Linked DNA regions of Lytechinus pictus. The protein of the gene in region 3 purifies or fractionates together with the protein of the main gene of each other region. This does not show direct contact. Links are inferred from orthologs where the notes say so. Each region holds a gene or a part of one and is shown on either strand. Other genes may lie near its edges.

Region 1 (3,758 bases), on a different chromosome or scaffold from region 3:
GAAGGTGGTGAACATCTAGTTAGTTCGGGCAATTAAACAATAATTATTGACGAAACCAGGAGGCAAATTCACAAGGCCCTGGGAACAATTTTGGGGTGGGGTTGCTGATGTACATTTTGACAAGCAAGCGAGAATAAAAAAAAAAACAATTCCCCAAAAGGGGGGGGGGGGTTCACAAACATGTTTCTTCGGTCTCGAAAATATTGACAAGCACCCCAAAGTAGAATAAAAATGGGTTTCACTACAAAATATAGGTCAGTTTGATAACATGTTTCCATTTTTTAACACCTACAATAATTTATGGGAGTGCTGCCTATAATCAGCTAGACGCAGCACCCCCAAGGAAAATCTTCAGCACCCCCGCATCCCATGCAGGGCCATGAAAATCACAAGGTAATAGTTGGGTCACGGTATTAACTGACATTGATTGCTTGTCATATCGAAAAGTTTAATTTTCTCTTCTTTTTATTCCGGATGGGGGCGGGGGTCCTCTCGCTCGCTTTGCACCTCTCACACGGCAGCATTTACTTCTTTTTTAAAATTAATTTCTTGAATGTGTGTACACCCGGGCGTTTGAAAGCCTCAGTTATGCATACATTTACGTAGGAATTGTGACTTTATTCGTACGACTGCATGGTGACCTTATCTTTGCCTTGAAGATGAGGGATATGATATGCAAGGCAGACCAAGCTTGCATGAAAAAGAAAAATACCCTGAGCTAGAACTCAACTGCTGGAATACAAATTAGACGCTTTGTCGATCTTTGATCAATTTTTTGTGAGAACTAAAAGGGGGTCAGATCTCATACACTTTGTTGATTTTGCTAAAAAAAAATAATATACTCCTTTTCCTATTTTTGACAATGTTTCTCTTTCTTTTCTCAGGTACTCCTGTTTGCATGCTAGCAATTTTTTTTAATTTTTTTTTTTGGGGGGCACGTGACCCCATATCCCAGTGTAGTTATTCACCTGGATCATGACTATCACTGACCTGTCAAGCATATACAAGGAGGATATTAATTCTTAAAAAATGTGACAAAACAAAATTTTAAAGGATTGCACTTATATTTTTTTTGCACTGAACGTGCAAGTAAAACAAAAACAAAATCGTGATCGATAGCGCTGCTGCATAGTATCGATATCTAGCTGAGGCGGAAATACTATCTCTCGAACCCGAGAAACGAGAGTTCTTATTTATTCTATTTGCGAAGCATCTGAGTCTCTCCCAGTTATCTAAAGTATATAGAAATCATGCAGGTAATGAAACGAAGTTTTGAGTGAGTGAATGATATTTATGATTATATATTTGTGTTGATTTTTAAGGGAATGTTGGGAAATTGAATAGAGGAAGCCTGAATACAATACACAAAAATGCACATTCGGGACTGAGCTGTGAGTACGTTTAAACATTGCACTCGTGATAAATCAATGGAAATGAGAAGTGGGCGGAGCTCCAGCAGAGCTTATCAATAGTCATTGCCGTGCGTGGATTTCCTTATTTGGTTATTAAAACATCTTCTTGTGTCTGGCAAAGGCTAAAACGTTTAAGATCTACATGTGTAATCATGATTGTTTTGTTGTTTTTGTTAATTTTCACTGAATTGGTTGTTCATTTGTACTAACTTTAGCCTTTTTAATGATAGGGAAGTTAGGGTGTCTGGAGAAAAGAAATATTTTTCTTATTTCAAGAAAATATCACATTTTTTTGTGAATTTGAAGAGAATTAACCATCAGACTGACAGAAATATAACATTTTTTGTTTAAATCCAATTATTTGCTGCAAAAAAGAAGAATGAAATTAGGTCAATTTTCAGCATTTCCTTGCCATAGACTGTGTAGTTAATAAATGGACACACACAAATCCAAATTTTTAGCTTCCGAGAGCTGTTATAAAAACTTATAAATTCATTATTAATGCCAAAAACTTGTCCATAAAGTGCCTAATATGAATTTTTATGCTCTTTCTGATGGTATGATTTTTATAAAGATTTGAAAACCAGATCACTATGAAAAATTGCGACAAAGTGAACAAATTTGTGCAAAACAAAAATTTCATTTTCCCATAGAAAACGCATGGGGAAATGGCAATCTCAACACACACACAAATAAGGGTTTGCAATTTATCTCTAAATCCTCATTTCAAATAATCCTATAAACTTGTCCTTACTGTTAAAAGAAGCCCCTGAATTTTCTCTTTCCATACATGCCAAATACAAGTTAAAGGACAAGTCCACCCTAACAAAAAGTTGATTTGAAAAAAGGAGAAAAATCCAACTAGCAAAACACTGAAAATTTCATCAAAATCGGATGTAAAATAAGAAAGTTATGACATTTTAAAGTTTCGCTTAATTTCACAAAACAGTTATATGCACATCCTATTCAGTATGCAAATTGGCAGACTGATGACGTCACCCACTCACTATTTATTTTCTATTTCATTATATGAAACATAAAATATTCTAATTTTCTCCTCCTTGTCAAGTGAAACAAAGTTTTATTTCTCCCTGAACATGTGGAATTACCATTATCTTAACAGTTCCTTATTGTCAAATTTGTAAAAATTGAAATATTTTATTATTCAAACAATAAAAAACAAAAGAAATAGTGAGTGATGGACATCATCGACTCTCTCATTTGCATATCGCTGAGTTGTACATTTAACTGTTTTGTGAAAAATAAGCGAAACTTAAAAATGTCATAACTTTCTTATTTTACATCCGATTTCGATGAAATTTGCAGCGTTATGTTTGTTTGATTTTTCTCTATCGATTCAAATCAACAATTTTCTGGGGTGGACTTGACCTTTAATAATTAATTCAGATCACATTTTTATAGCAGCCTGAATTTCCAGAAAAAATTTGCCATATTTTCCCCTAAATCAGCCTGTTTTAAGCTGACACTTTTCAGTGTGGCTTCAGACACCCTAATGATAGGCAAGAGTACCGTACTTGGGTCAAACCAAAAACTTTTGTAATTAGACCTACCACTACAGACACTGATTGAGTCAGCTAAGGTTAGTAGGCCTAGAACTTTGTAGAAGGAAACTTTATATTTTCTGAACATACACTATACATGTAGGTATACATGCACTAAATGATAATTGTTGAAGTATTAGTAATACTCTCAAACTTGTCAAAGAATTTTCTTACCATGACACAGGTACATGTAAATTAGATGGCCTTATTACAAAACAACATCTAAACTCAATCACAATTATTGGAAATACTCCTGTAAAATTGCAAAAAAACTGACCACAATGCACAACCATATCGTCCATCTGCCACGTCGACATCTGGTTTCAAGAATTAAAAGACTTTGTAATATATAACACTTACTTTGCTTGGAAGACGATTGACAGATGAATAGAATTTGTAATAGTATGAAGGTGGGCACCATGTCTGCGCACCTAATTATGTAATTTTTAATTTAACATGAATTTGTTTTAATTCCACAATACTTTTTCCATTGATAAAGTTCCTTATATGCTTATGAGGAAGTGTGCCAAAAATCTCATAAAAATTGGAAATAGATAATGGCCAGTCATTTTCAGATTAAAAAAGAAATGGTGCCCCATGTCTGCACACCCATTCACTTTACACACGATTCAGGGATTTTGATGAAGAAGGCAGCGTGTTGAGGCCGTCAGATGAAATGCCTAAAATTAAGTATTTTCCACCATTTTGAGTCAGATTTTTTAATGAATATCTGTCTATGTATTGCAGGTGTAAAGTTTTTTATCGTTGTGTATCTTCTTTTACT
Region 2 (3,758 bases), on a different chromosome or scaffold from region 3:
ATTGACATCGACTGACTCACCTAGTTGTGCATATCACTGTTTTGTGAAAAATAAGCGAAACTTTAATAAAATGTCATAACTAAACTATCTTATTTTACATCCGATTTTGATGAAATTTTCAGCACTATGCTAGTTTGATTTTTCTCTTTATTCAAGTTAGACCAAAAGCTTCGGTCTCTGTTATGTTATGTTGGTTGTTCAGCTGAACTCTGTTGGCTTCACTCACCAAATACAGAGACCAAAGTTTTTGCGCGATCTGTACAGGGGACTGAATGGCCATGCGTGTATGTATTAAGTTTGGATAAAACAGGGAAGTGATTTTGCGCGACAGCCGAGGTAAGTCACTGTTTCTGTTCCTTTTAACTTGATTTTTTCCCTGTTTTTGGCAATTAATACCAAGAGGAAATATTAATTTACATTTCGGTCGCATTAATTTTCAAGATTTTGATTCATTAAAGACAAAAATTGAAGAGCCCCGACAGGGGGATTTTGCATTGTAAGTCCCCTAATGGTGGCTGCAGGATAGCAAGCCGTCTGTGTAGGACTACGAGGAGAAATTTAAAAAATAAAAAAAAGTTAAAAAACTCCTCGAAACAGACGGATGCCAGCTGTCTATATTCAAGTCAGCATTTTCCCTAACCCAGGAACTCCCGCCCGCAGCCCAGGAGCTTACCGTGTATTTGACCATACTCACGGGACTAGCGTGATTTATGGTCTAAATATTTTTCCAAATGAATTGTGAAAACAGAAATTATGCACTTACCACGATTATATGGATGAAGGTCTAACGAGTGGCAGTTTCCTGACGAGGCTCAGACTGGAACTTCAAAAAAACGAAAAGTTCTCTCCTTCTACCCCAGTCTCGATCGGCCATTTTGTTACGATTCATAACACAAATGGCCAATCGAGACGGGGGTAGAAGGAGAGAACTTTTCGTTTTTTTGAAGTTCCAGTCTGTGCCTCGATGTCAGGAAACTGCCACTCGTTAGACCTTCATCCATATAATCGTGGTAAGTGCATAATTTCTGTTTTCACAATTCATTTGGAGAAATATTTAGACCATAAATCACGCTAGTCCCGTGAGTATGGTCAAATACACGGTAAGCCCCTGGGCTCCGGCCCGCTGTGCGGGCCGGAGCTCCCTGGGTTACATTTTCCCATGACATGTTTCCTGGGGTGGACTAGCCAGGCGGCTTCTAGAGAGTAAAAATCATTTTCTAACGTAAGGTCACTCTCATATGAAGCCAGGGCTTCCGTCATATACTTTTGCGTGTACCACCAAAAAACCTGAAACTTTCGCCCCCGAAATTTCTACTTTCTTTCTAAAAGATCTAGCCCTAAATCATGTACATGGAATAAAACTTCATTTCCGACATTTCTACGCTCTCGTTGTTATTTTTGAACAAGAATACATCAAAAAAATGAGAGAAATATTGTGTAAAGACGGAAGAGACTCGCCCAATGTTTACGCCGCCATCTTGTTTTCTATTGTTCTTCCCCAACGTTACCCGACGCACACGTCTGTAACGTTGGCGAAGAACAATAGGAAACAAGATGGCGGCGTAAACATTGGACGAGTCTCTTCCGTCTTTACACAATATTTCTCTCATTTTTTTGATGTATTCTTGTTGAAAAATAACGAGAGCGTAGAAATGTCGGAAATGAAGTTTTATCCCATGTACATGATTTAGGGCTAGATCTTTTAGAAAGAAAGTAGAAATTTCGGGGGTGAAAGTTTCAGGTTTTGGCTTCCATTGTGTGGGTCTATGGGATAGAAGGCCTGGCTTCATGAGATTGACCTTACGTTAGTAAATGATTTTTACTCTCTAGAAGCCGCCTGGCTAGGCCCTAGGGTGGACTTGATTGACCTTTAACTAGGGCCTAGGCAATTTTCAGAATACGGCCCAGGTCAGTAAATGCATTGACATGGACAAGTGTGGTGTGACTGGTGTCCATCTTGTAAAATCAATACCACGGCAGTGCCACCTCCCCGCCGGAACAACGAATCTGATACTACCTCGTGTATTAATTTAGGTTCTCCTTGATCCATCTCGAACACTTGCAAAGCCCCCGTCTGTCTCGGGTGGCAACCAAGCACAACGAACCGGGCACTTCTGGGGATCCATTTCACGTCGTATAGCGTTATGTTCAAGGATTTTGTAGCATGAATTATGATCTGTGGTTTGTCCATACTGAATTTCACACAAGTGAGAATTACGTCGGAATCAAAATATACTGTTAATAGTATCCGAATAGATGGAATTTGCAATCGGCGTCCCGTTTCTAAGCGCTAAGGCTAAGCTAAGACAGTGTCGAGATTGAGGAAGTTCTTCGCGATATCGATACGGCGGCGCTCGTGTATTATATATATGGGTAAAAGCAAGACAAATTAAAAAGGGAAAACATATTTACCAAGCAAGACTTCAACGACGTGTAACTTTACCTTTGTGCAGACCCAAAGAGGGCAGAAGGCGGGGGGGGGGGGGGGGGTGTGCACATCAGTGGTGGAACCGGTGGGTGCAACACCAAATCCCACTTTTTTTAATGCTTTTTGTACAAAATGTGTTTAAAGAAGTGGATTCCCTTTCCTTCCCCTCCCCCATGGTCAACCTTTAAAAACTTACATAAAAAAAATGAAATATGTTATCTCAGCAAAATAAATGAAGAAAAGCCGAAGAAAATTTCACTTTTACTAGTTTCCATTTATTATTCAAGGGCCTGTTTCATCATAAGTCTAACTTCTTGACTAAATCGGAGATGGTGAGCTACTTGTCCTCTATAACCATTTCATGAAGCCCTTTTTGCCAAGATCGGGGACAAGAACCTGACTAAATATTTATGACACCTCCGAACCAGTCATAACTTCTTTTGTAATGACGTAGTGGCATCAAGTGGGTAGACTCGTGCCTCAAAATTTGAAAATTGTAATCTTACATACAGTAATTAATCATAGAAGTTGAAATTACATTGCAGAACAAGTGAGACGGCTCATTCAATGATAATTGTAAAACACCACAAAACCATTCATTTTGAAATAGTAAAATAATTGAATCAATAAAGATTCTGCCACTGGACTCGTACTCATGGTTCTCAGACCCTTTTCAATATTTTGATAAATACAATCTCTAATTTATGCATAGAATTTGTCAAATCATATCTTTCAGTATATCTATCGATTTACACAATTTCTGTTGCACTATATTTTGATGATGTATGGAATAAAAAAAAAACGTTTATCATCATTTTACAAAGAAAACCTTAATGGTTTCATTCCGTATATCTCGGGGCTACACATCTCAACGTCCACATGTGATTTTCAGTAATGAAATGAATTCTTTGTAATTTCATTTTATTAGCAATTAAAAGCTCCAGTCTTCATAAATAAATTTACTTGATCAAACCATGCTCATAAACAACCTTGAGCATATTCAGAAGGGCAACAACAGTACTTGACTATTTATTTCAAGTCTGATAATGGGAGATGCACAATGATGGAGAGAACAGGTCATGTCTGTTTCATGCCGAATTCCAACAATTTTGCATTCTTGTTTTCATTACTTTTTTAAAATAATTTTTTGAGGTCAAGTTAATAATTCACTGTACCTTTATTAATGAAAAAAATTAAATGTTCACTTTCGCAAAGTGCAATACACTTGTGGTTTGCCCTTCATTGGTCATCTTAATGTACTCATCACTTATCCATATTTTCTTTCAAATTGGTGCATTAATTCCCTATAAATCATAACAAATATCATTTT
Region 3 (3,758 bases):
TTTGTATTTTTGATGTTGTTTGTTGTTGTTCATAGTTATCTTGACATTTATTTTAAACTGCAGGGCGCCTTTGTAAAGCAGTTTTAAGAACTGAACAGGCCTACCCTGCAGTATAAAATAAATAAAACAAAATAAATAAATAAATAAATAAATAAATAAATTCCAGGGGGAAAACAAAGGTGCCAGCGTCTCGAAAATATGGATGGTTTTAAACCGTTTGCCATAACAAAAGTTGTGAACATGGACACTTTCAAATGAACAGCGAGACGTTAATAGTGTATTAATTGTAATAATATTTACATCGAATTAATGGAATTGGATACAATTTTCACACTATTATCAATCTGGTGTGAGATTATTAATAGTTATAAAGATATACCCGGATTTCTGCAATATTACGTTTATGAAAACCACTGTTCCCTGTGTTGAAGCTGTGTGTGGGGACTTTCGGACACTCAAATGCACGCGACTAACCATTATGTATAATTATCATTATCATTATTATTATTATGATTATTATGATCATTGTTGTTATCATTCTTATTACTGTTATCATTGTATTATTAATATTATCATAATTATCAAGTATTAACATTATCATTAAAATAATTATGATCAAGATCAAAGCAAGATATATTCCTCTGATATATAGTCAACTGGTCTAAAGTAATTCATTGTTTGAAATTGAACTGGTCAAGACCAGCAATACCAGTAATTCTGATGAAACTGATCACGTGGATTACCTCATTTGCATATTTCCTATTTTTTAAAGAAAAATCAGGATTTAGAATAAAATATCCTTGCATGCAATGGCACTCATTATTGTTTAAAAACTTTCTAAATAAGTGTGTGAACTAATTCACAATGAAAATGTGTAATTTCATATATCACATTTAAAATAACAGCAGAAATATTAATTTACTAACCATCTTTTCCATCACATTTCACTGACCATGGTATATAACAAACCAAATGCATGTAATAAATTGAACCAGTAAGACCAGTACGAGGACCAGTACGACCAGTTCGAGGACCAGTCACACCAGTAGAAAATACCAGTAAAGACCAGCTTGAATTGGATACCAGTATGAAGACCAGTGAGACCAGTAACAAGACCAGTATACTGGACCAGTTAGACCAGAAAATCGATGTTCCAATTTCCAGAGTTATCAGTTAAAATTCTACTGGTCTAACTGGTCCAGTGGAACTGGTTTTTCCTTCTGGGAAGCGTCGCGTATATCAATTGTATTTTTTTGTATATTAGTTTAGTTAGTTTAGTTTATGTTTTAAACTCACATTGATCCATCCAGCGTCGGATCTAGTTTGGTTTGATTATTGATTAAGGCATAGGCCTATGTGGGAATCAATTTTGTTTTTATATTACCGGTAACTATATATTATGTAGGGCCTTTTACAAAATGTTCGAGACGGTTCTACCGAGCCTAAATTTCAACGCACGTCGCCCTCTGGTGTTGAAAATTTTACAGTTCCTCGTGCTAAAAAAGAGATCGAAAATTCACTCGAAACACACCCTAATTCTTCAAAATGGTATGCATATTCACTGTTTATATATCATTATCGTTAAATATGAATTTAGTGCTTATCCATTAGATGGATTTTATTTTATGCATGATTGTCATACAATGTTTTTAATTACATGAAGTGTCCGCCGGTTATAATTGCTTGGCAACCGCAAATTACCCTGATCCCGCCTATTGATTTTTGTGTATTTTCCCCAAAATGATGATTTCGTTATGGATGAGGCTGAGCCTGAGCGCTCCCAATCTTAACTTTTCTAATTATACTTTGATAGTAAATAAGGATAACTATTAGATCTATCTCAATTACGAAAATTAAGTGGTGAATTCAGTATTTTTTGTTGTCCTAAAATCTTTTGGCAATCCCGGATTCCCGGTGCTGCTTTCTTCATTCTTGATTTGGTCAGAGACAGAGAATGAAAATGATGCAGATTTAGAGAAACGCCTGGAGGCTGGACAGTCCAGTGAACACAAAGAAAGTGTCATGAGTGTGTGTGCTGTTGTTGTTTCAACTGCAAGGCAAGCAATCATGCATGTACTATGTAAAGGGAGGGGAGAGCGCTGAAAAGGGGGAAGGAAAGAGAGGACAAGAAAAGGGAGAGAAAAATAGTAAAAAGACATGAAGAGTAAGAGACAAAAGGGGGAAAAAAGAGAGGGTAGAGGAAAAAGAGGGAAGGGGAGAAAGGAGAAAAAAGGGGAGAGAGGAAAAAAAGTAATTAAAAAGCCGGGAAGTGGGGGGGGGGGGCAAATTCATGTTTGAGTTCGACCTTTGGGGTGCCAAATTGACCTGAAATGAAGCGGCATCAAATTTACCTTAAACTCGGGGGGGGGGGGGCAGGATACCAAATTGATGTTTGACCTTCAGATGTAACATGGAATAATAAAGATAAAATGGAATAATTTGTGCGAGGTTAGTATTAGTATACTATTGCTAACCTCGCACCATGAACCGCGTTTGGCAGTGGATTTCTTACTAGTGGGTCACGCATGCTGCGACCCCACTTCTAGCGTCCACAACACGTGACTTCTATGGCTTGATTTTTTTGTGCGTGGCGATTAGCCTAAATAATCCAGGCGGGGGTCAAAGGGTCCGCCCCCAGCTCCCCACTGTATTGGCAGCGCAAAAAAGAGAAAAAAGACGAAAATAGGGAGGGAGGAGGGAAAAAAGAGAAAAAAGGAGGGATATTGATAAAAGTGAATGAAATAAGGGGAGGGGGAAATTGAAAAATGGAAAAACTGCTGTATTCACTCATTCCATTAATATAACTATGCATCTGGTGTTCTTCAAAATAAATGGTTTATTGCCAAGCCAGGCTTTGTAGTGATACTTTTTCTTTTTTCCCCTGCTAAACCAGCTTAATATCAGCATCAATTTTCTTTTACATGTAAACCTTGCTTTAGGTTCTTTCATAAATTCAAGTTAAATGGCATTAATAATATATATATATATATATATATATATATATATATTTTTTTTTTTTTTTTTTATTAATGTATTTTCGTACCCAATGTATTTACATTGAGCATTGTCAACATGGAAATTTTTTTTATCAGTAGAGAGACAACATGATTTAAGAAATTTTTGCATGTTTAATTTCCACTTCTTATTGTTTGTCATAGGTATCCCTTCAACCTGTTCAGATTCTAAAGCATAATGCGGAGGAGGAGAAAGCAGAGCTTGCTCGTATGTCATCTTTCATTGGCGCCATCGCCATTGGAGACTTGATCAAGAGCACACTAGGTCCCAAAGGAATGGTAAGCCTGCGCGCGACACTGGCACTGGTCCGACGGTCCCAGACCAGTAAAAATTGCTGTCGGGCCAGTAACTTTTCAGAATTACCCAGATTTACTGGTCTGACGTGACCAGTAAAAAATATTTCAAGCTTATACAAATTATATTTTCTCCTCTTGTAAATTATAAAAATGGCTCTCATGAATTGTGCTGTGTGTACTGTTTGTTTGTATTTTTTTTTTGGGGGGGGGGGCAATAAAAGCAATAAATGACAGCAAAATAAACTTATTCTTGTTTATGGTGTTCTTTAGTTTGGGGGACCAGTATATTTAGGTTCGGACCAGTAAAATAAGGAGAAATTGGGTATCTACTGGTCCGACATGAACAGGTTGGACCAGTAGAAAAAAAGGGTTAGTGTGGAGCCCTGGCCGTAAGCTGTTCTGCTTGGAAAAAGGAATTTCTTTCTAAAGATGATCACCTTGTATTCT

The links.
Region 1: the proteins of T-complex protein 1 subunit beta-like (region 3) and viral IAP-associated factor homolog purify together in Homo sapiens (co-immunoprecipitation; 3 studies listed by BioGRID and IntAct, with this or other methods). This does not show direct contact. The link is inferred for Lytechinus pictus from reciprocal best matches to the Homo sapiens genes CCT2 and PDCL3.
Region 2: the proteins of T-complex protein 1 subunit beta-like (region 3) and dynein axonemal assembly factor 10-like purify together in Homo sapiens (affinity purification with mass spectrometry; 3 studies listed by BioGRID and IntAct, with this or other methods). This does not show direct contact. The link is inferred for Lytechinus pictus from reciprocal best matches to the Homo sapiens genes CCT2 and DNAAF10.

Annotation. Positions count from the first base shown.
Region 1 is NC_087245.1:32,495,631-32,499,388, forward strand, and holds the start of viral IAP-associated factor homolog, read left to right. Parts: upstream 1-1,099; 5' UTR 1,100-1,250; coding exon 1,251-1,256; intron 1,257-3,758. UniProt on the Homo sapiens protein: Acts as a chaperone for the angiogenic VEGF receptor KDR/VEGFR2, increasing its abundance by inhibiting its ubiquitination and degradation.
Region 2 is NC_087251.1:10,516,319-10,520,076, reverse strand, and holds the start of dynein axonemal assembly factor 10-like, read right to left. Parts: upstream 2,370-3,758; 5' UTR 2,192-2,369; coding exon 2,018-2,191; intron 1-2,017. UniProt on the Homo sapiens protein: Key assembly factor specifically required for the stability of axonemal dynein heavy chains in cytoplasm.
Region 3 is NC_087263.1:2,305,222-2,308,979, forward strand, and holds the start of T-complex protein 1 subunit beta-like, read left to right. Parts: upstream 1-1,458; 5' UTR 1,459-1,545; coding exon 1,546-1,548; intron 1,549-3,158; coding exon 3,159-3,293; intron 3,294-3,758. UniProt on the Homo sapiens protein: Component of the chaperonin-containing T-complex (TRiC), a molecular chaperone complex that assists the folding of actin, tubulin and other proteins upon ATP hydrolysis.